4 linked regions of the Danio rerio genome follow. The protein of the gene in region 2 interacts with the protein of the main gene of each other region in a pairwise test. Links are inferred from orthologs where the notes say so. Each region holds a gene or a part of one and is shown on either strand. Other genes may lie near its edges.

Region 1 (6,725 bases), on a different chromosome or scaffold from region 2:
TGAAAAAAGAAAAAATGATCAGTATTGGTCTAATGTGTTAGGATTTCTTTAGAAACATCTAAAACAGGGGAGGTTTGTCGGTTTAAAAAGTTTATGGTGTTTATGCACATTTTAAATTACAGGGTTAAGAGACTAACCAATGAATCTGTATTATTTTCTATACTTCTAAATACAGAAACTACTTTTGGTTTCAGTTAATAATTGACAAATTAATATTTAAATTATCTATTTCACAAGTTTAACGCCATGAATTGTAAGTCAATTAACACATTTACTTTCATTTAAACAACATTGATGACTTTATTTAAAAAAAAAAACTTTGTTCTATTTGAAGGTCATAAAAAAGACCAATAATAAAATACAGTTTTATTTAATAGTTAGTCAGGAAATAACATGGAAAAAAACATGTGCCAATGTTCATTGTTGGTTTAAGGCATTTATTTTTAATTTAGTCATTTCTAAAGTTTTATTAAATTGATACTTACCTAAATGTATCTGTTTAATTTGAATTATTTTGAAATGTATGCAATTAAAATACATTTTTACTGTATTTTACAATTAATAATCAATTAAGTTAACATCACTAATTGATTTTATCACAAATGCATCAGCTTAATCAGTTTTAGATCAAAATCAGATTATTTTGGACCCATTTTAGATGTTTAAGTCGATGTTGATGTCCCACCACTCCTTCCAACAGATTATAATATAAAACAGGGGTCACCAATCCTGGTCCTGGAGGGCCGGTGTCCCTGCAGGGTTTAGCTCCAACTTGCTTCAACACACCTGCCTGGATGTTTCAAGTATACCAAGTAAGACCTTGATTAGCTTGTTCAGGTGTGTTTGATTAGGGTTTGAGTTCAAATCTGCAGGACACCGGCCCTCCAGGAACAAGTTTGGTGACGACTGATATAAAATGAAACCTTTTAAGGATAGTTTATGGTTTTAGAATTCAGACATGGTTAAATCAGTCATCAATATCAATGAACAGGTCAAACACACCTGCAGGCAGCCTCTTGAACCTTCTTGTTGCTGTCCAGGATGCGTTTGAGCAGCTCAGTCATGAGGGGCTTGAGGTAGGAGTCTGCCGGCTGACTGACCACCCAGTGTGCGTAGCGGCTCAGAGTCCAGCAGGCGATGGAACGAACCAGTGCCTTCTTATCACAGAGACACTGGACCAGGTGAGGAATCAGCTCCGGCAAGTACAAAACCATATCCTGCATACAGCCTGAAGATAAAAGGAGCAACCATTTCAGATACACTTTTTTAATGACTATTTAAATGGACTTGCATCCTAAGTGAATACATTTAATTTTTCACATTAAATATTATAACATTTAATATATCAAATAGATATTTTATACTTTTAATTGAAGCATTTTATTTAAATATCCATTGTAGAATCCAATATTATAAATCACAACACATTTCAATACTGACAAGAAATGTTTGACTTACAAATAAGAATATAAGGTTGATTCTGAAGAATTGTTTAACCTTGTTTAACTAGGGTTGTTTAATATAGCCATATTTCCATGTATATTTTATGGTGTCATTTCATCATCTTCACAACTAAATAAGCACCGCATTTAGCAAAATTTTTGGATCTTTTTAACAATAGTTTTAAATGGTGACTTAAAGATGCATTCTCGATTATCTTTCCCCATAACTGCTGTACTAAAAGCTAATGATATTTCAAAGAGTCATTTCTGTGCACTTCTCTCCAAACCTATAGTCTTATCAGCGGTCTCATCTTATCCATGGTCTCAAATACCTTCAGCAATGGCTCCCAGCACCAGGATGCCTGACTCTTTCACCACCCAGTCAGGGTGGAACAGCAGTTCCTTCAGCACTGGAAGCAGGTGAGGAAGCAGCTCATCCCGAAACACGTTTGCCAAGACATCAAGAGCAGCTGCTGAACACTTCCCTTCAGAGCAAAAAACACATCTCAGATCAAATCAGATCTTCAGTTACCTTGAGAATCATTTTAACTTTGTTTTGTGGATCAGGCAGTATGAATACTTGAACATCACTGACATTCATGATACAGTTTGTAATCATCTCCACAACAGACACTGATTTTTCTGGGCAAAGATTATTTGCTTTATTACAGTAGTAATGCACTGATTTAGATTTTATGGCAGATTTTTTTTACATTCAAATTGACCCATTTAGATTTTTTCTCTTTTATTTTATACTTCTAAAATATTTTTTTCAATACTGAATTACACTAATATTTTAAAAGGAGTAAAAAAAAAAACAATTTAACTTCAGCTTTGTAAAATGTTGCTCCATAAAACTCGTAGACAGTCTGAATAACACAGATGATCTTTAAAGAAAAAAACGCATACTTTAAGTAGACAACAATTTAAGCAGATCAGAAAATATTTTTAATAAGAAAAAAATGGACTTGCTCAATAGTATTACAACTTTAATGAAAGGTTTTAATCCACTTGTTTCAAATGCTAATTACTATAGTGCACTCTATATCTATAATGAAGCATAGATAATCACTTTTGCTTTAGATAAAGATTTGCACAAATGAAATGTACAAATATCCTGTTACTTTTGGCCCCAAACTTCGAAAAGCTAAAACTCCAACCGATAGTCTAAACGACCCACAAAAGTCTGATCTGTACAATCTTTTTAAGAAAGTTCGAAATGAACAAAAGGTCAATATTTGTTAATGCAGAATATTTTCTGTTTTGCTCTGGGTGCTTGGCCAATCCCTTGCAGCATCTGATTTGCATCTTTGGCTTCTCTAAACCCTGTCCATTAAAACACTTTGTACTACAAAATCACTACAGTGCAGTTTGTATGCAAGTCTGGGAAAAAAATTACAAAATTGAAGCACAAAAAAACAAAAAAATTCTGATTCCAATTTAGGCTACTCAATCAATAAATTGCTACATTACAAAATGGGCAACATTTTTCAAGCAGCAAGTAGTTAGTTTGTCATGGAAAAGCACTCACGTAGATTCCAGTCGGACAGACTGTCATCATCATCGTCGTCATCATCTTCACTGTCCTCTCCTTCCTCCCCCTCATCACCCTCGTGCCGAAGAGTGACCGTACGAGACTTGTGAAAGCGTGGCTTTATGTCCTGCTCATTGTCAGGCACGGCCTCGTCTTCCTCCACATCACCCTAATGGGAAGTAACAGATCAGTGTGATGAAACACGGCTGGGTCAATCGACACTGTAACAACTTAATTAAAGAGCTCAGGTCAGACAGTATGAATACTTGAAAATCACGGAGAACGTCAAGAGAAATTTTATCATCACACCTGAGGCCAAACTGCTTCTAGGAGTTACTATTATCTCCAACAACTAACCTTTAGCAAAATGATGTCAATCTCAGAGTACTTCATGCCGTTGACCAGAACAGGAACCAGTCTAGGAGAGAAGATGAGGTCATACTAAACTTCAGAATATTGCAGATGGATGTGATATTCATTTTATACTCTAAAGACTGATAATAAGTGCATCTCTGACAATAGGGTAAAAATGTGCTAATCAGTTAGCACTCTTTCAGTGTTCATATCTAGCCTTTTAAAATGTGCTGAATGGCTAAATGTTTAAAGAATTTTAGTGAAGCTTTCATGATTCAAACCAAAAACAAAAAAACTAAGAAAATGTCAACAAGTTTTTCTTCATTTTAACAGTCTAATGAAAATCGATTGTAATAATACTAAAACTAATAAAAACAATGCATTACTGAAACTATCATAATAAAACATCCACAGAAGTGTCAACTAATCTGGATTATTATATTTTGATAATATGTATTATATTTTCAGGCAAATAAACAGTCACACAAAAAGACTAGCCAAAGAAATTTGAAAAAAGGTGAATAATTATTCTTAAAAAATATATATATATAAATATTAAAAAAAAAATCATACTAGTCCTTACACAAACTCAGTGTTGAGCAAAGTTTTATGGCTATCGGAGAAAAAAAAATGCATATACTTTCAGTTCTCGTATATGCAAACTGGTCACTTACTGTGCAAGGTGTCCAGACAGGACGTCTTTACAAATGGGCTGTTCAGCCAGTGTAAGCCAGAACTCACAGGCCTCCAGAGACACGTTCTCATCTGGATCCTGTGTGCGCTGCAGCATGTACTGTACAAACAGTCAATATTGTACATATTACAAGGCTGCACATCAAAATCACAAAACGGACTACTGTTTGTAAATTTTACACTTTAAGAGACTACCTAAATATTTAGTTATTACTACCTAAATATGGCACAGTTATAACTACTAAATATTACTACCTAAATATGGCACAGGGTTCATTAAAATTAAAATAAATTAAGCTTCCTGAGTTTCATGATAACTATGATTGGTCTTTTGACTACTGAAAGTTTACCAGTAAAATAGAGTTCAGAAAAATTGAGTAAAAAATGAAAATTAATGGAGTAAAAATATAAGACTAAATGAATCATTTTTTTTTTAAGTACAGATTTTAAAGGGAAACATCTAGACAGTAAGTTTGCTTCTTACCTCAACGATGCTGCGCATGTGAGGAAGGAGTCGATCTACTCGCACCTCCAGCAGCATGACCAGAGCCCGGCACACGTTCTTCCGCACCTCCGAGTCCTCATCTGATGAAAGCGCAAACAGACTCTGCAAACACATGCACACACAGAAATTAAATTAAAACACTGCACACAATCATTAGGGATATCCAATTAATAGACTTTTCTTGACGTTTTACATGAAGTTGTGGTTTGTTTGTTTGTTTTTTGTTTTGTTTGTTTTTTTAAATCAATACACAAAAGTTACTTCATAATTCCTTTACATTTTTTGCTGTTTCTGCTGAGAATTTAGTCAAATTAAAAGCTTAATTAATGTTTGTTAACATGCTTATTTAGATGTTACATGGGCAGTTGCTTCTCTTGAGCAATAAAAAAAAACTATACATTTCATCTAAAAGTAACTAAAATAAATTCCATTTGTTTAAGTAGATGGTAATTATCAGATTGTATAATTTATGAATTTCACAGAATGATGCACAAATAAAGATTCTCCTCAGTAGAAAAAAAACATTGCTCACTTTTGCTCATCTATAATTTGAAATTTCAAAGAATTTTACAGTTGTTTAATTTATAAATAAAGCAGTAATAGCATGGTAACATCCAAAATACTTTATTTGATCAATTAATGATAAGTTGACAATATAAAATTTTTATAGGTATATAAAATACAATAATGACTTAATAACAAAGATTTTTCTGATAAAATCAATTAACAATTATTGTGACATTTGCACTTCATTACATTAAGCGGGGGTTGCTTTAGTAAAACTTTAAGAATGGATATTATTAAATCCATTGCACATGGATCAGTACCTCAATAAAAGTGTCAATGTTGTCCATGAGGGCTTGTGCTCTACTAATGATGAACTGGTTCACACAGGCAACAGCATGAGACCTACAAAACCACAAGAACAACCATTAGATCCTCATTGTATAAAGCGTTTTGTTCCAAGAGAGATGAAGAATCCTCTAAACAAACCTGATCTTGGGGCTGCAGTGTTTGAAGAACTGCAGGAACTTGGGGATCATGATGTTTAGAGGTCGGTTCAGAGCATCACTGTCCAGTAGCTCAGAAGAGTCCTCGCAAATCTTCTGAAGAGCTCCAAATGAGCCCTGGATATTAACAAAGAAAAAAAAAATTTAAATCTCACTATATTTCTGTATTTTAGGGTGTGAGATGCAACAGCACATCTGAAGTGTGGCAGAGGTGACAATATATAGAAATGTCAAATGGACAGTATTTCCTAAATAGCTGTTTTGCAACGGTCATACAGCACAATTCTGCTTATATAGTTAAAGGAAAAAAACATGTTGAATGAAATTGAACAGGACACACTTGATAATTTAAAGGATGTGCAATTAGCAAACGCTATTGAGCAAAGCTGTAATCAAACACCTGTAAACAACTCCCAAAATTTACGTATTGTTGCATTATAAACAAAAGTTAACTGTTTTCATTAATTCAGGATGACTAATAAACACTTGACTGCAGTTATGAAGTGAGTTTGAAGTAAAAACATTTTAAAGCATCACGCAGAGAAAGACAAATTAGTGCCTGAGAGCTCAACTCGTTTCACTTTTGTGGCTTATTGCAAAAAAAATAAATAAATTCTCACTAAAGATAAGACTTGATCTATGTCAAACATCTTAAATAAACTATAGCCTAATAACACTCTAGTGTTGATATTAAACGAATAAATGTTTTTATATATACAAACACTGAAAAAAACTGCTATGTTTAATATTACCATGCAACTGAAAGGGAGGTCGGTTCTGTTTTAATGCACCCATAATCCTGAAATTAAGCTGATGATATATCAATTGGACTTGTATTAAACCTAAATTCAACTATCTGAATTAAGCACTGAGAATCGAATCAATAACCCAACTGAATCAAGAGCTTGTGACTCAAATCAGACATCTGAATCTGTGAACATTACATACTAGGGCTGAACAATATATAGATTAAGCATCAATACTAGGGTATATGCCGAGCTAGTGTTTTTGCCATACTGATAAACTTCCGGTGACCTGTTATTGTGAACTTTTTTCCATTTAATACGGTTCCTTTTACAGCATCGATATTGTAATATAATTTAAATACATTCAGTTAAATAAACTTTGGCATTCATTTAGTTGCTCAAGCGTAAAACGAGACAAAAAGCCGTTTACTCGCATGTGCC
Region 2 (5,491 bases):
ATGTAAGTGTTTCAGAGTTAAATACTACATCAGCACATTTTTATTGACAGTGAACAATCAATGTTATACTTTGATATTCATTCATATTCGGCTTAGTCTTTTTATTCACCAGGGGCTGCCGCAGCGGAATGAACTACCAACTTATCCGGCATTTGTTTTAAACAGTGGATGCCCTTACAGCTGCAACCCAGTACTGGGAAACACCCATACACTTTCATTCACACTCATACACCACGGCCAATTTAGTTTATCCACTTGTTAAGTGTGACGTCACGCGAAACGGGTTCCGAGTCCAAGCGCTCTATTCAATTGAATCGGGCGACTCATGAAATGGTAATAATAAACGTTTACAAAGTGATTTAAGGCTTTCGAAAAACATGATCGCAATATATATGTCCATGCCTAATATCCGATGGCCAGAAAGTGAATAATTTTTTTGTAAAATTGTTAAATTTTGGGTATTTGTTATGCAGCAAGCCCAGAGATTGTGTACACTATGATTTTATATAAAATTAACTTTAATGTGTGATAGGAATAAAACGTGATCATAAACGAATAATTTCTCCACTCAAATGAATGGCGGCTTGGACCTGGAAACAGTATTACATACGTCACAAACACGTCATCACTTGACAAGCGGATTCAATTGACTTATACCACATGTCTTTGGACTATGGGAGAAACCGGTGCACCCGGAGGAAACCCACACCAACACAGGGAGAACATGCAAACTCCGTACAGAAATGCCAACTGACCCAGCCAGGACTCGAACCTTCTTGCTGTGAGGCGACAGTAATATTTTGAAATTGTATTATTTAGAAGAAAGCCAAAATGCGCAAATATAAAACCACTTTTACTGCAACTGAAAAGCTTACTTTACCGTTTAACTTTACTTTTAAAGTACTATGACTACTAAATATAATATGTTTCGTTTACCTGACGATATTTATTATTTTATAGACGTTGTTTTATTTTATTTTATTTTTTTATTAAATCACATTATTGGAAGAAAAAAATAAAAGTTTTTTTTTTTTCTGCATTATGGCAATGCTGCATCCCTGATATGAATATGATATGATTACTGTTCTTTATCTCAGAAGTCTAAAATATTAAATATTGTTTTATTTATTATATGTTTGCATTATGGTGAGAAATTGCAAACTCTTGTGTTTGTAGGATTTTTTTTATATATATATTTTTATCAAAGCCATAAGTTTTTTTTTTTTTTGTATTATGTTTGAAGTCTGTCTGTATGATTGATGATCAAATTTTAAGACAGCAATCCACACACACACACACACACACACTACGGGCCAAAAGTTTGGGGTTAGCTTTTATAAAATAAACTCATCAATGCAGCATTTATTAAATGTAAAAAAAAAAAGTTAAGTATGTATTAAACATTTTTAATAACTGCTTTCTTATTTAATGTAGTTTCAAATGAAATTATTACTCTAGTCATTGTTGTTTTTATTACTTTTACATTTATAATAATAATTGTAATAATAATAATTAATATTAGAGTGATTTCTAAAGGATCGAGACTCTGAAGACTGAAGTAATGAACCTAAAAATCTTTAAAATCACTGGAATAAATTATTAAATTAAATGATAAACTACTTTTGATTAGTTATTTTATACTGCAAAAACGTTTCACAATTTTACAATTTGTGCTGTATTTTTGATGAAATAAATGCAGCCTTGATGAACAAGATGAGCTTATTATCAAATTATCGGTTTAAAATGATTTAAGACCTACAACTCAATATTTCAGTGAATTTAAGACTTTTTTAAGACCTAAATTCATTGAAATATTTTGTTTTGGGTCGTAAATCATTTTAAACAGGTCTTTATTTGGCTTTGTCCAGGTAAAGCTACTCAGTTGGGCTGGCATTTATCCAATCACCAACAATCCATCTCAATAAAACCTTATTTGTTTTTTATTTACATTTTTTTTTTATTGCAAGGAGATACAATTCACAACAGCTATTAGACATTTTTACAGCAAATTCCCCATTTAAAAAATAAAAGAAAACAAAATATAAATATATGTTCTTCATGATATTCCTGGTAATAAACAGTATTAAAAACAATATTAGTCTAAAATTTCATTTTATTGGTCTTAAAGGGGTCCAAAAAACTCTCAAATTTGACTTTATTGTTTAATTAAAATGTTTATCTAAGTAGTCAAGTTAAGGAGTAAAGTAGCTAAGTAGCAAAGTTAAAACATTAGGTATTATATTGTCTTAGAGTGAATTTTAACATGTCTTTAAACATGACATTATTTTGACAAATTTTCATGTACACTGTAAATAACAATACAGACATTATTTTAAATGAATACCAGTTTTTGACATGGTTTTAGATGTCTTGATTCAATTCTAATGCACAGTTTAGTTTTTGAGCTGATTATTGATTGTTTGTCAAGTCTTGACCTGACTATTTGTTTCTTCTTTTAGTGAGCACATTTATATAGCTCCCTCAGGTGTTCAGAAGGAGAGAATACAAGTAAGGTTTTTTATTTAGTCATGTTGTTGTTTCTGTGTAAAATGAAATAATGCTAAAATAAACTATAACTCCCCTGCTGTGTAGCCAGAGGACTTGTTTGTGTGTGACATTGATGAGAAGGACATCAGTTGTCCTCCTCCACAGAAGAAGCTGAAGAAGAGCCAGTGCACGCCACTCTTCATGAACGCCTACACTATGAGAGGTACATGTCAACACAGAATGTACTGTTTTTAGTCTGTACCGTGTTACATCGTCTTGTCTTTTTCACAGGTGCTCAGGCAGTTATTCACACGCACTCAAAGTCTGCTGTAATGGCAACTCTCCTGTTTCCTGGAAAGGAATTCCGTATCACACACCAAGAGATGATTAAGGGGATTCGGAAAGGAAACTCAGGCACAAACTTCAGGTTGTGGTTCCTGTTATGATGCTTTATGAACACGATTTTAAATTTGAGATGTAAAATGAAGCAAATGAAAGCATATACATACATGATACCTCTTTGAAATCTTTAAGATCTCATTTTTATATCAATATTTTACAACTTACCTTGATTTAAAATAATATATATTGTGTATATAAATTATATTACTCAGCACCAAAGCCAAATCTCTTTTAATCTAATTAATATAATAATCATTTACTGACTTTCAACATATATAACATATATGTTCTGACAGCTGCAGATGTGAATGAATGGTGGAAGAAAGTAGTTTCCTTGTACAAAAGGGATTTTGTGACTCGCTGTGTTTGATATTCTCTTCTATATACACGATTATGTCATCAAACTGTTGTATAAATGCAAAATTACACTCATAGCAGTGCAATATGGCTGTATATTGAATGTATATTTGGATGACTTGAACATAGTTTAAATTCTGTAAATATCTAAATATTAGCAATATTAACTCTTTAACGATAAAAAAGGTGACAACATTCCATTAATTGTGTTTTATAAATGGTTGGAAAAAGAAACTGAAAGTAAAATGTGTCAGCGCCTAATATCCTTCTCTTCTTCTATTGTGTTGTGTTTTTACCCAGGTATGACGACACTCTAGTTGTTCCAATAATTGAAAACACCCCAGAGGAGAAAGACTTGAAGGAGCGGATGGCCCGAGCCATGGACATGTACCCCGACTCCTGCGCTGTCCTCGTCCGCAGACATGGCGTCTACGTCTGGGGAGAGACTTGGGAGAAAGCAAAGACAATGTGAGCTGGGGAATTCAATGCACAACTTTGTTTGTATTTTGTAGAAACATACATTATTGATCTTTTACATCACTATTGTTTTCCAGGTGTGAATGTTATGACTACTTGTTTGACATTGCTGTGCAGATGAAACAGAGTGGTCTGGATCCTTCTGCTTTTCCAACTGAAGAAAAAGGCATTGTTTGAGTCTGCATAATAAAAAACTATAACTGTGTGTGTGCGCATGTGTGTGTTTATAGCGATTGCTCAAATATGCAACTCACAATTTTGTGTTTGTCATTTAAACGGCACCTATTTTATCCTTTTTTCAAGATCTAAGATAAATCTTTTGTGTCTCCAGAAGTTTCAGCTCAAAACACCCATCATATTACTGATTATAGCTTTAGAAATACTGGAATTTTCAGCTCTGAACACAATGTAGCTGTTTTTGTTGCCTGTGCATTTAATGTGAATTCTCTCTGCCCACCGTTCCCACACGCCTCTCAGTGTGCCTAAAACTCCGCCTCAGCCACATCAGATAAACAGCACAGTGACAGACATGAAGGAAGCAGATCTCAGATTTAACGGTTGTGAGAAATACTACTGTAAGAAATTTACCAATGATTATTTGATGTATTTGTTGTGGAGTTGCAACGATGAGTCACACAAGGTTACACATGCGCACACATATAGCGGACACACACACTGTGTGTTTAACTTTGCACTGCTTTTGCACGCAAGTGTGACAGGATACACATTAATATTCACTGCTGCATGGATATCCGTTATGTTACTGTACAAATATGGGGCTGTGGACATAAAGACGTTAAAATTGCTGTAATTCATTTACATGCCCTGTTTTAAAAACGTATTAAACTTGTACAATTTATTCTTGATCACATTTGATGATGATTGATGATCACAGCGAGCTGAACAGATCTTTTAATCCCAGTTGCTTTGCACACATCCTGTCTTGTTGATATGATTATACGCGTTACTGCGAAGACATGTTAATACAGGACTGTCAATCAATTCAGTGGGCAACTGCACTCTTACGTCACGTTGCGATTGGCCTCAAAATGGGAGGGATTTGGATCCTATTTTTTGACATCAGGAAATTTTAAAAAGAGACTTATATTGTCTTTATATGACTGTGGACACACTATACCTACACAGTTCTGTTCAAACAGCACCCAAAAGTATTTCATCATAGGTGTCCTTAAGATAAAACACTTTCAAAGTCATCAAATTTGAATTTAATTACCTTAACAACAATATTCCTTTAATTTCGCAAGCCAAGTTAAATGTCAGTATTATGTCAGAATTCAATGTAAGAACGCAGATTAGAAAGGTCATCATTCTGATGCTAATGAATGTCATGTTTTTGTTTGGGTGTTTTGATGCTTGGGAACAATGGCATCATAATGTCATAATTAGCATTAATTGCAGCTACTTGATTTTAATACAAATTACTATGATTGGTTTAAATATACAGTTAAATTAGTATAGGTATTGACTTCAGTTTTTATATCCTGTTAATAAGCATATGTTTAAATAGAAAGTGGTTTTAATTTACATTTGGTGCCTTTTTTCTCATATTGAAATGCACTTCACATCAGAGGTTGGGTTAGCAAGATTATTTGTGTAATATATTTGCAATTATAGATTACTAAAGCTGCACTTGGATTACAAAAATAATTTTTAAAATATGCAATTTTGAAATAATATTACAATAACCATTGTAGTACCTTTGTAATATATTCAACAATTATTTTATCCTCTAATGCCAAACTGCAAT
Region 3 (6,725 bases), on a different chromosome or scaffold from region 2:
CTAAGCTATATTGAAATAATTTAAAGAATTACAAAAATCAAATACGTAAAAATCGCATTTAATAAATAAAACAATATTAAACAAACAAAAGCTAGAACAATGTAGGTAGATACAATACATAAATTAACCCTTTTTTAAGCTATATATAACTTTAATTTTACAAAGGCCTCTCTGAAAAAAATATTTTAGATATTTTCTAAAAACAATAAACACCGGAGGAGGTTTAAAATATTATTTAAAAAGTATTTGGATACGATGATATTAATCAAATCGTGCAAACAGAGCATTTTTGGGTGAATGAAAGCAGAAACGAGGCTACCGTCTTTTCTTTCATCCAGTCCTGCGCAACACCGCTTTACAAACGCATCGTGCTACAATTTAAAAATGAAATTTTAAATACATGAAGAGTTTTATTAGGGAAAAGCTGTTGAGCGCAACAAAATATAGCCTATATTTTATTACTTGCTCTTATGTGCTGAAATGCTTAACACTTTCCTTTATTTAAGATCACAGAATAATGTGCAACTTCCTTAAATGAAGGGGAATCACCTATTAAGTGTCATATAGCCTATAGGGAAAAATGAATATGTTTTAGGTCTCTCCGGAGCATTTGGGCTGAATGTTTGACGACGTCTATCAAAACGAGGATGTTATAAAATACACTTCATACCGAGTTATTAACAGAGAATTTCTGTGGTTTTATATTTTGGATGGGTGCACTCACTGCGCTGGGTTCCTCCGTTAGTGGCAAGACCGCTCGAAGTTCGAAGCCAACGGTCTGTCGGCGAGTACGTGTATATGATGAATAAGAACACACAGGCCTGTGTGTATAGACATATAATGTTATGCTGTACTGTAACGTGTCATTTGTTTGTTTTAGTACTAGCCCGACAGTGGAAACGCCATGTGATTTCGGCCTCACTACTCAACCTCCCGGGCGATTGGCCTGGCTCGATAAAAGCCCTGGCCCGACAGTGGAAATGCGGCTAGTGACATGTGAAACTAGTAACAAGGGCTTGCGTTTCCAGTCTTCTGGCTAAAAGTGAAGTGTGACTGCAGTTTGACACCATGTGCTAACTACATGAGGTGCCACTACACGGCATCATCAAACTATGATTTTGTTTGTTGTGAATACACACCCTCTAGTGGCGAAAATGACATACTGTGCATTTAAACAACCCATTGTAAACAACATTAATTGTAAACAACAATAAAACCCATTGTAAACGAATTAGGGCTGCAAATCACTATGGGAAAATGTCAATATTAAGTATTTTTAAGCCATTTTGCGACATCAACTTTAATTTCGAAATAATTTCTGCCTCCCAATCCGAATACTATCCGTCCTAAATAGTATTTGAAAATAGAATTAGTATGTCCCATGTTGTAGTATGTTGAAATAAGTATGCCAAAGATTCCCTGATGGTTTACTATTTCCGGTAAAAATTTAAGTGTTGAAGCATCCATATTCTAACCTCTGATTCTGCCTATAGTACATTGCGCGTTGGATATAAAATCGTTTAGAAATACAAAACCCGAGTGAAAAGTGTAAACAAACTACAAACATGAGGGACGGGCGAGACCAACTGTCAAGTAGAGAGGCTTCGGTAAAGATGTTTGTATGACTGGTAATCAATGTCTAGCCAACTGGAAAATATTTAAATTGTGTTTTTTGTGTTATTTCATCTGCAACAACAACAATGTGAACTTATATCAAGATATGTTTGGACATATCTTCTGAATGCATAATTACCCAAAGACCTGAGGAGATTTCTCAGCATGAAAGACTCGTGAATGGCAGATTATCCTGCTGCTGCTTCTCCAATAAGGTAGGCAATTAAATATGACAGAAATATGGATGATGTGTGGATGATTGACAGGGCTCATAACTAAGCAGCACAACGATCTGTTAACGAGGAAGTAGTATGCCCCGAAGCTTGCATACTCTTCTGTTACACACTCAAAAGTATATACTTTTCCTTCACAAAAAAGTACATACTTTTAGGGCGTAGTTTAAGTATTCGATTTGGGACACAGCAATAGTGTGCAACTCCACAATCAACCATTCAATCTAACCTGTTTCCTCAGCAAGGAAGATGAAGCGAACCCATCTGGGCCCTTGCTCTTGCACCAGCAGCAGTGTGATTGGCTGACAGTCGATTCCCGCCTCCTCTCTGACCTCCCTCTGCAGTGCCTCTAGAATGCTTTCACACTCCTCCATGCGACCCGCAGGGAGGTACCATCTGCCGTAACACTCTCTCTTTGCCTCCTGTACCATCAACACTTCCTCCTGTACAACACAAGCAAACACAGATGATGTCTTGAGAGGCTGATGAGCATCACGGCTAGTAAAATGAAGAACACAGATGAAATAAATACACAAATGGATTATATATACACAAGTGGGCAGCGTTTTAATTTATACAAGTAATTGACCCTTCGCTAAGCTTTACATAATTCATTAATAGAAAGAGCAGCCAGAAAGGGGAAATTGATGGATTTGTCAAGAATATTAGCATCATTGACCCATAAAAATGTAAAGTAAGTTACCTATAACTGTCAGTGCCCTGTTGAAAAATCCAGCTTAAACCAGCCTAGGCTGGTTGGCTGGTTTTAGCTGGTCGACCAGGCTGGTTTTAGAGGGGTTTCGGCCATTTCCAGGCTGGTTTCCAGCCATTTCCAGCCTGGTCTTAGCTGGCCAAGCTGGGAGATGACCAGCTAAAACCAGCTTGACCAGCCTAGCCAAGCTGGGAGTCCAGCCAAAACCAGCTATATCCAGCTTAAACCAGGCTAGTCAAGCTGGTTTTAGCTGGATTTGGCTGGTCATTTTCCAGCCTGACCAGCTAAGACCAAGCTGGAAATAGCTGGAAACCAGCCTGGAAATGGCCAAAACCCCTCTAAAACCAGTCTGGTCAACCAGCTAAAACCAGCCAACCAGCCTAGGCTGGTTTAAGCTGGATTTTTCAGCAGGGTGTGTTTGTGTGCTCTTTATAAATTAATGAAGAACAGCTGCTGGTGAAGTATATTGATCGCAAGTGCCCAGTTTGTGATTATATCTGTTTTGTTCTGTTGATTTGTAATTTGAAATATTCGTAGCTTGAAATAGATGGAAATATGACGTTCAGTAAAGTTAGCATCAGATTTGTATTTTCCGGATCAATAACTCATGAATATAACTCATTGGTATGCCTACTATGGCGAGGGCTTAAACAGAGTGCTCATAATATCGAGCGGAAAAAAAAGACAGCTGTGAAACATAATCTGCTTTGTATTTATGCTGGAAACACAGTTTAAATCTGTTTAGGGTAAGAGGTGTGTGAGTGATTGTCGTCGGTCTATCACTGAATGTGTCAGGAATATCAAAACAAAAACCAACTTAACTCCACTTCTTTAGCACCCCTCACAGAGCTTGATCCACGCTGGCATTTTCCCCTAGAGTTTTTGGTTTTAAAAAGTGAAAAAAAATTCCCTGCGCGTAGCTACGGTTGCTAAGCCACGATTGGTGGGTGGCGGTTTTTGGGTGGGGTTTAGCGAAGGGTCAATTAACAAACAAATCAGAAAGAGTTGAGAATATGTGTCAGTTGGTAAAATTGGCATCATGAATTAGGGTTATGACTAAGAGTTGAATGGCATTTTGAGAGGCCAATAAATTTACACCGCTATTCACCTTATTCTCCGCCGACTTATTCGCTGCCATTTGACTCTTTTTGGCTCGCGACCTCCGGTCTTATTCACTTCTATTCATTTTTTGCTGTTAAAAACTGCTCGTTACGCTTCTTGATGTTGCAATTTGATATTTTCTTGTTATATTATTCTACTTGGTCTGTATAGTCATGCAAACATTTGTTTGTAGAGCAAGTAGTTTGACCGTTTTCTGCCGTTTATTTTTCCGACTCATTTCTCCCATAGGTGACTGAATCGGAAGTTCTAAGACAATCGCGATAACAGGCGCACTTCCGCATTTTAGAATAAGGTCAATAAAAACTCTACACTGACTACTTGTTAGTGTGTCAACGTGTCATTTCTGCAGTGTTGTCCTATGAAAAAAATTTCAATAAATATTTGCAGAACTGTGAGGCGTGTACTTACTTTTGTGACATACTGTATATCAACAACTTTGAGGCTATTTTGTGAAAAGATCAATTAAGATAAAAAAGCCCGATATTACCAAGGCCAGACAGATTCTGCAGACTTTTTGGCTATTTATTTGCACAATTTTGTAAAGAAAAAGAAAAGAAAGAAAGAAAAGTTTATATTATATTTTTTATTATATTAAATAATTATTAAATATTTTTAATTAAAGTTTACAATCAAAATCAAATGTGCTATTTACATGCTGAATTATAATTTTCAGCCAGGCAGGGCTTCCTGTTTTTCCTGTGAACTGTTTTTCTCTTACAAAATTGTCAGGTTTAAGATCTGATTTCTTTAAAAATCAGCGATCTTCAGTGCCTGTTAGATAAACGATATGAAGTGGGTCTCATATCGGGCTAAAAGCACTGCATTAAATTCCATTTCCCCCCACCATGTCTTTGTAATATGACAGTTATTTTACCCCAGTATTTTCATAGGAATTTCCATTTCCATTTTCAAACAGTCTTTCTCATTTTACGCTTGAACAACTAAATGAATGCTTAAGTCTCATGTATTGTAATTAAATTACAACATTGAGGCTGTAAAAACAACATTGTGAAATTGAAAATAGTCACATTAAGCTTTCACCGGAAGTTTATCGTTGGCTTTAAAACTCTAGCTGTGCATACAGCCCATTAGAAGCACTTGTATGGTAAACAAAGCTACAGCAGGTCTGTCATATAATGCATCCACTAAAATACAAAAATATTTACAAATTATTTTGTCCATAAATTATTTAAATATTTGCAAATTAGGCAATGATATTACTTAAATCACTATTAAAGACTCAGATAAACTTATAAACCTAATACACGCATTGACATAAGAAAATAAATAGATTGAAAGTTGGCTGAAATTTTTGTAGAAATCTGTAGATGACACAAAAGAAATCATTAAACTCTACATTAAAAACAGGACAAATTTTCTGTCAGATATGTAATAATTTCATGTTTTTTTCTGGGAGACATTTTTAAAGTCATCCATCAAAGATTTTGTCTTGCAGTCTTTAAAACTTCACATTCTAACAAAATCTATATTCTGTTAAGGAAAGCTTTACAGTGCCTACATGTTGATGGTGCATCGCTCTTCAATAAATGAGCCAACCTAGAGTGAGCAATTCGACATCTAGTATATACAGTTTAGTCATGCTTTCAGCTGCTTTCAAAACTAAAATGATTAAAGCATCTGTCTTCTATGCTCGGATTGATCTTTTGCAATTTGTTATTTGAACAGCTGTCCGATTCCACTTGCCATTTTTCTTATTTGTACAAAATAACTTTAGGTTTCAGATCGGAGGAAGGAACTAAATATTCTGTCACTTTACGAGAAATTGCTTTTTTTGCTGTCTCGTCTGCAGTTCATTACCACAAAGACTCCATAAGTCCTGAATTTTTTTAAAAGGAAGTCCTCAAAACCCATTGAAATTTTAAGAATATTAGGTTTTCTTGTGGATTATATATGAACAGGACACAAATACTGTATGTGCATCCCAAAACATTCCTGAATGAGAATTGCATTAATCTTTTGTTCATTTTTGTTCATTATTAATCTATTTTCAAACCTAACTTGGTTTGAAATATCTTTCAATATTTAGATCATGGTCACATGACCAGTATGTAAATAAAGTACTGAGAATAATTCTTGAACACTGGCATACTGTAAATTAAGCCACATTGACTGTGCTGCCTTCAGTTTCATTCCTTGCTACCAAACAGTCTTGTTCCAGTAAATAGACAACACTCACATGCAAGAACAACAACACCATCTTTACCTTTGAATTGAAAATGACTGCGCCGACAATATAACACACGTTCTTCCTCAGTGTGACTGGGTCCACTTGTTCAGCGACTGAATCAAACTCGAGACCCTCACCCCTCAAAATCTTCTCCAAGTTCTCCTCCAGAATCGATGACTGCGAGTCCATGGCGGAGCTGCTTTAATTTGACAACAGAATGGAATTAATATCATCGTCAAATAAAGAGGCTGCCAAGAAGAGTCAGTTTTATTACAGTAAAAATACACTAGCCGGCCACTTTATTAAGTACACCTGTCAAAACTGCTGGTTAATGCAAATTTCTAATCAGCCGATCACATGGCAGCAACTCACTGCACTTAGGCATGTAGACATGGTCAAGACGATCTGCTGCAGCTCAAACCGAGCATCAGAATGAGGAAGAAAGCTGATTTAAGTGACTTTGAATGTGGCATGGTTGTTTATGCCAGACGGGCTGGTCTGAGTATTTCAGAAACTGCTGATTTACTGGGATTTTCACACACAACCATCTCTAGAGTTTACAAAGAATGGTCCGAAAAAGAGAAAAAGTCCAGTGAGCGGCAGTTCTGGGACGCAAATGCCTTGTTTACATCAGCAGTCAGAGGAGAATGGCCAGACTTGTTCCAGCTGATAGAAAGGCAACAGTTTAGTTTATTTATTTATTTAGTTTATTTATTTATATAGCACATTTTGTACAACACAACGTTGCCCAAAGTGCTGAACACAATCAATACTAAAAATAAAATCTACATCACACACATAGCAATTAAAACATAAGGCAAACCCCTCAACATTAAAAAGGCTCAAATACTAGAGA
Region 4 (5,901 bases), on a different chromosome or scaffold from region 2:
GATTATGCAAGCTGAAGTATTATTTTAAAGAGCGGTAATCTCCTCTTCTTTTCTTTCCTTGAGCACTGACAAATGTACCACCAAAAATATACAGTCAAATCATAGATTTCAGAGCATGTCTGCGTTAGAAAACCGGCATTTCCGTTGCTTGTGCCTATATCTGTGTGCTGAAATCTTGTTTTACTGTGCTTGTTTGTTCAATGGTTCATGTGCTTGTACAGTTGTGAAATCAGCTCAGCTGTTAAAGTGATGGCTTTTCATCTGTTTTCTCTTCTGCTGACTTCTTCATTTGATCAGTGTAGATGATCATATTAGGTTATTAAGACACACGTAATGACATATGAAGCCAAAACAACAGCAGCAGATTCAGCAGATTCACCAGATTAACATCAGTCATCTGCACTAACAGTCATCATGATACTGCACTGGAAGAAACAATGATAGGATCAGAAATCAACGACAGCACACAGTTGAAGACCTCCTGTGTATTTTCTAATCATAATAACTTGCTTAATATATGGTAATCAGGGTTCAAGCTTATTTTCATTTATGCAAATTAGTTCTACATTTAATTGCTGTGAGTTGAAGTAACTCGTAATGTTATTTTGACTCAACTTAAATCTTTGGATGTGATCAAGTGTGATGAATACCTGTTGAGTGAAGGTTTACCAACACATTTTGTGATCAGATTGATTCAAGCCTACAGTAAATAGAGCGATTTCACCCGACTACCTTATCTTCTTTCTGGAAGAATCCCCGCTTTCAGCCCATCTCCCTCTTTCCTCCTTTACCAGGGGGAGCTGTCGGCACCTGCCTGCTCTCGGACCCCCTTATATGCTTATTGACCTGGAGAGACCTGGGCTCAGTTATCTCAGAGCTCAAGGTTCTCTCCCAGATAAGCATGCAGAACCTGCAAGATCTTAGCGTGAACTCTTGAACTAATAATAGGAGTGGTGTGAATATGCAGAGCGGTGGAGTGAAAGGACTATAAGAAACCGGTTTATACAACAGAATGTTGATTGCTCGGTGTGCTTTATTTCCTGATCATTAACACGTCTTTGATCAGGGGTGATCACGTTTGGTCCCGGAGAGGATGCTCAGGGTGTGAAGATCACCTCCTTCAGTACTGTTAGCTTGAGTCGTACATGCTTCAGTGAATCAAACTGATGCGTTTATTTCATTTAAATCTCATTTATTAATAAAACATGTTGAAGTGTTTTGTGGGATATTCAGTGTGTTCTGACTTATATTAGCCTCTGATTAGCTGTTTCAGAGGTTTCTGTAGGTCAAACTTTGCTTCTAATTGGACTGCTTGTAGGCTCAATGTAGGAATAAACAAGTGAAGACTTGCGGTGTTAATCAGTGCTGCCAGTTTCAGACTAATGAAGGATTTTTCTCTCATGTTGACTGATTGGCATGATTATGCACTCAAGGGTATGAACCGTTACAGGGGAGGTCACATGTATATCTGTTATCTATTATTTCTGTTTGGGGGCGAAACAGTGGCGCAGTAGGTAGTGCTGTCGCCTCACAGCAAGAAGGTCACTGGTTCGAGCCTGGGTCAGTTGGTGTTTCCGTGTGGAGTTTGCATGTTCTCCCTGCATTCGCGAGAGTTTCCTCCAGGTGCTCCGGTTACCCCCACAGTCCAAACCCATGTGGTACAGGGGAATTGGGTGGGCTAAATTGTCTGTAGTGTATGAGTGTGTGTGAATGAGTGTGTATGGGTTTTCCCAGAGATGGGTTGCAGCTAACCATATGCTGGATAAGTTGGCGGTTCATTCCGCTGTGGCGAAAATGAATAAATTAGTGAATTTCTATTTGTTTATTAATTTTCCTTCAGCTTAATCCCTTTATTTAATAGTGGTCGCCACAGCGGAATGAACTGCCAACTATTCCAGTATATGTTTTACACATCGGATGCCCTTCCAACTGCAACCCAGTACTGGGAAACCCCCATACACACTCACACACACACACACTCATACACTACGGCCAGTGTAGTTGATCAGTTCCCCTATAGCGCATGTGTTTGGACTGTGGGGGAAACTGGAGCACCCGGAGGAAACCCACACCAACACGGGGAGAACATGCAAACTCTACACAGAAACACCAACTGACCCAGCCGAGACTCAAACCAGCGACCTTCATGCTGTGAGGCCACAGTGTAACCACTGCGCCACCGTGCCGCCATTATTATTTCCATTATTAAGAAACAGATCAGATCAGATTTCTCACTCGGCTGACCCTGCATGCATCTTGTTTGACGTCGTTTAAAGGGGAATCAAGCATTAATCAGAGGATCGATCCCCCAAACCCTCCTGTAATTCACACTCTGGTTTTACTCCTTATTAAGCTTTTTGTGTGTGTCAACCTAAAGTCTGGATCTCCAGGACTAAACTAGCCCACCGCTTCATTCATCTGACAAGTCTTTGTGAATGAATGTTTTGATCCAGTGAGATGCTCCAGATCCTCAGCGCTGGATTGTAACAGTCTCGAGTGTGACTCAAACTCAAGCATTAAAGCCATTTTTACAAACAGATTATGAAAACAGGTACATTCATTCTGCATTCGGCCCTGTGTTTGCCATGTTTATATCCACCATCAATGTTTCTGGAGTATTCCTCTAGGCATCTTCATCAGACTTGGCTAAACTTTGCAGTCATCTCCACTCTTACTTCATTAGAGTCTGGCTGTCGATCAGACAGTGGTCACGGAGAGCAACGGGTTGTAGACTTTCTTCCCATCCACAGAGCTGGATCCATGAGCCAGCAGCTCCTGAATGGTGATCCAGTTGTCCAGGATGCGTCGGCTGCGCTTCTTCATGCTCTTCTTCTGGCTCAGCTCCAGTATGGAAGCCTGTGGTCCGGAGTCTTGCTCCTTTTCTTTCTCCCTCAAGAAGTCCAGTCGACTCTGCATCATGAACTCCCGCCGTCTCCGATGTTCCCGGGCTCTCAGCAGCTGCTGCTTGCGCTCCTCTTTGCTCCAATATCTCCCCATTTTCATTTCGCTCACCGCGTCATCGTCTGTGGTCATCCCGCTGCGCTCCTCACGAATCTTCATGGCACGAGCCTTCAGCAGACGATCTCTTACAGGGCGTTTAGCCACGTACCTTGAGCCATCGCTGCGGATCTTCACCTTCCACTCCATCCTAGGTGAAGATGGAGGTGGGATATTCACGGCAGTAGCAGTGGTGTCTTTATTAGCAGTAGGTGTCGTGCTGGAGTGAGCAGGATCTTCTTCAGTATTCCCGTCATTGATGGTCACATCTCTCAGTTGCATGCAGCTCTGGTAGCGTTGAGGCAGTGTGGTGCTGCAGTGCCGGCGGGACAGATATGGGCTGTTTTCAGCACTCCGTCCCCCTTTTACTACCCCACTAGCTCCATTAGTGTGGGATCCCCTTCGCGGTCCATCCAAACCCTTCCTACCGCCGCCGTTCCTAACCCTTGCTGCTGGATTTTTGACGTCCCCCAATTCTTCGCTCTTTTTCTTGACGTCTGCAGAGTTTGGATTCCTTTCCCTTGTTTTGTGACGTGGCGTCCGAGGCCGCATGGTTGCAGAGGCACTGGAGTCTCCAGCTGCGGACAGCGAAGGGTTTCGTTCGCTAGCCAGAGGTGTGCTCCTACAGCTCTCCCCTCCAGTGTTATATGCGCTTGTGCTTTCCTTATCAGAACGCTCCCTTTCTGGGATCTCGTTGATATCCGAGAGGTCATGGTGGATTGATTCTGCGCCTCCACATCTTGCCTTTGCTCCTTTGTCTTCATCGTCCTCTTCATCAGCAGGCCAGACCTTTAAGCAGCGTTGGCGCAACTGCTGCATCTTCTGTGCGCGCAAGACATTGCGCCATTTAAACTCCAGATGTCGTATTTCCTCATCCAGAAGAGCGATTTCGTGCTGCATCAAACTCTCGTTGCAGTTCATATCGACAGGGATGCTTCCCCCTGCAAAGTCACACTGGTTTCTTCCATCCAAATACAGAAGTGCGTTTCCGTTCTTCTCGTAAAGGCAGCGGATCTCCAGAAGCTCTCGGTAGCGTTCGTATTCTTCTTCGGTTAACCCCGGCACTTTGCTTGCTCCCAGTGATTCAGGAGCTCCGTGGTCCACCCCATCTGGTCCCAGTAAAGAGTCATTGCTGTAGTGGAACTCAAACCCATGCTGAGCCGCTTTAAACTTGCGCAGGCTGCCCGGCGTGTTGGTGGCGTTGGTGGTGCATGCACTGGTGGCATCTTCAGCCAGTTCTGAGGACTCTTCGCAGCGTGTGCTCTCATCCGTGCGGCCCACACCGCTGTCCAGCTCCTGGCTGTTATTGAGGGCCGTGTGCCACAAATTCGGCCGATTAGCTCGAATCCCGCTGACGTCACTCAGCAGGGAGCTGGCTTTGCTGCGGTGGTGTGGGCTGGGCACGTTTGAGGCGTTCTCCAAGTCCTCCAGATCCAGGCCCATGCCCAACTCTAGATCCAGATCATCAGCCTCATTCTGTTTGAGTTGTAGAAGAAAGAGAACATATAAATTAGGCAAACCATTTCAAGACACTTGCAGAATCACTGTACTTCTGTCTTTACAGGGCTGTTCTGCACAACTGAAGAGATCTTCACCCTCCTGTATAGATTTGTCCTTAATTTCTGTTTAACAGGGAGCAGATCCACAATCATACAGTCTCAGAAATAAAGCTACGCGAGCTGTCACTGGGGTGGTACCTTCTCAAAAGCTACACATTTCTACTTAAAGGGTCCATATTGGTACCTGAAAGGAGTATATTAGTACCTAAAATTTTCAAGATGTACATATTTGTAATTTTTAGGTACTAATACGTACCCATGAGGTATTAAATATGGACCTTTTAGTTACACGTTTGTACCATGGCTTTGCAATCAATAAATGTGATTCTAATGGAAGTCATTGGGCCAACAAAGCACCAACGTAATCACAGGGGAGACACTCAATTGAGTGCAAAGGAGCTAATATCTGAATAATCAACAGCAAAAAGAAACATGCAGGACCTCAGATGTCCCGTGGTGAGCAGCAGAGGGCAGTGTGCATCTCACTAAGCTCAAGCTCTGCTACTCTGACTGACTTCAGGTCTTTCCCATCTGTTGTTCTAGACAATCAAACCTGAGGTTCCTCCAAATGAGCCACCACCTGTGCTGGGGAATACACGGGCCCACGGGCCCACACACCATCTGGACCTTCCCTAAAACACACCACCACACACACACACTTGTGTGCTACTGACCCCAAATCTGAAACAGCACAGTTTCAGTGACAGTTTGCAAAATTACCCTTCAGTGTTCAGATGTTGTTAGTCCTGTATGTGGTGTTATTTGGTTTGTATATGAGGCACACTTCTGTATCTGATGTATTTCTGTATGAACATTGAATATGGAGTGGCATGGTGGCGCAGTGGTTAGCACTGTGGCCTCACAGCACTTAAGACGCTGGTTTGAGTCTCGGTTGGGTCAGTTGGTGTTTCTGTGTGGAGTTTGCATGTTCTCCCCGTGTTGGTGTGGGTTTCCTCCGGGTGCTCCGGTTTCCTCCACAGTCCAAACACATGTGCTATAGGGGAACTGCTCAACTATACTGGCCATAGTGTATGAGTGTGTGTGTGTGTGTGTGGGTGTTTACCAGTATTGGTTTGCGGCTGGAAGGGTATCGCTTTTTAAAACATATGCTGGAGTAGTTGGTGGTTCATTCCGCTGTGGTGACCCCTGATAAATAAGACACTAAGCTGAAGTAGGATGATTGACTGTAGAATATGATTAAAGCGTTGTACATATGCAGATGTATCTCACTGTTGATTGAGTTGCTTTATTAAACACATATTGGCATGTGCACACTGCCGTCCACTGATGTGATTATTATATGCAAATGAGCTGTGTTTTCCGAGATCCTGATTTGCTCGCGCAG

Evidence for each region.
Region 1: the proteins of apip (region 2) and tnpo2a interact in binary tests that used the Homo sapiens proteins (3 or more experiments, as listed by UniProt). The two-hybrid records come from large-scale screens. The link is inferred for Danio rerio from reciprocal best matches to the Homo sapiens genes APIP and TNPO2.
Region 3: the proteins of apip (region 2) and nudt18 interact in binary tests that used the Homo sapiens proteins (3 or more experiments, as listed by UniProt). The two-hybrid records come from large-scale screens. The link is inferred for Danio rerio from reciprocal best matches to the Homo sapiens genes APIP and NUDT18.
Region 4: the proteins of apip (region 2) and PDZ domain-containing protein 4 interact in a two-hybrid assay, tested with the Homo sapiens proteins (2 studies listed by BioGRID and IntAct). The two-hybrid records come from large-scale screens. The link is inferred for Danio rerio from reciprocal best matches to the Homo sapiens genes APIP and PDZD4.

Annotation. Positions count from the first base shown.
Region 1 is NC_133178.1:17,598,132-17,604,856, reverse strand, and holds part of tnpo2a (transportin-2), read right to left. Parts: intron 5,656-6,725; coding exon 5,522-5,655; intron 5,438-5,521; coding exon 5,356-5,437; intron 4,631-5,355; coding exon 4,508-4,630; intron 4,124-4,507; coding exon 4,005-4,123; intron 3,395-4,004; coding exon 3,334-3,394; intron 3,290-3,333; exon of another isoform or gene 3,221-3,289; intron 3,146-3,220; coding exon 2,974-3,145; intron 1,928-2,973; coding exon 1,775-1,927; intron 1,229-1,774; coding exon 1,003-1,228; exon of another isoform or gene 924-1,002; intron 730-923; exon of another isoform or gene 276-729; intron 1-275. UniProt on the Homo sapiens protein: Probably functions in nuclear protein import as nuclear transport receptor. Serves as receptor for nuclear localization signals (NLS) in cargo substrates.
Region 2 is NC_133182.1:51,744,539-51,750,029, forward strand, and holds the end of apip (methylthioribulose-1-phosphate dehydratase), read left to right. Parts: intron 1-2,459; coding exon 2,460-2,508; intron 2,509-2,592; coding exon 2,593-2,710; intron 2,711-2,778; coding exon 2,779-2,914; intron 2,915-3,546; coding exon 3,547-3,714; intron 3,715-3,800; coding exon 3,801-3,900; 3' UTR 3,901-3,928; downstream 3,929-5,491. UniProt on the Homo sapiens protein: Catalyzes the dehydration of methylthioribulose-1-phosphate (MTRu-1-P) into 2,3-diketo-5-methylthiopentyl-1-phosphate (DK-MTP-1-P).
Region 3 is NC_133183.1:55,668,517-55,675,241, reverse strand, and holds part of nudt18 (8-oxo-dGDP phosphatase NUDT18), read right to left. Parts: intron 6,069-6,725; 5' UTR 6,059-6,068; coding exon 5,906-6,058; intron 2,291-5,905; coding exon 2,077-2,290; intron 1-2,076. UniProt on the Homo sapiens protein: Mediates the hydrolysis of oxidized nucleoside diphosphate derivatives. Hydrolyzes 8-oxo-7,8-dihydroguanine (8-oxo-Gua)-containing deoxyribo- and ribonucleoside diphosphates to the monophosphates. Hydrolyzes 8-oxo-dGDP and 8-oxo-GDP with the same efficiencies.
Region 4 is NC_133198.1:264,775-270,675, reverse strand, and holds part of PDZ domain-containing protein 4, read right to left. Parts: intron 4,474-5,901; coding exon 2,698-4,473; 3' UTR 1-2,697.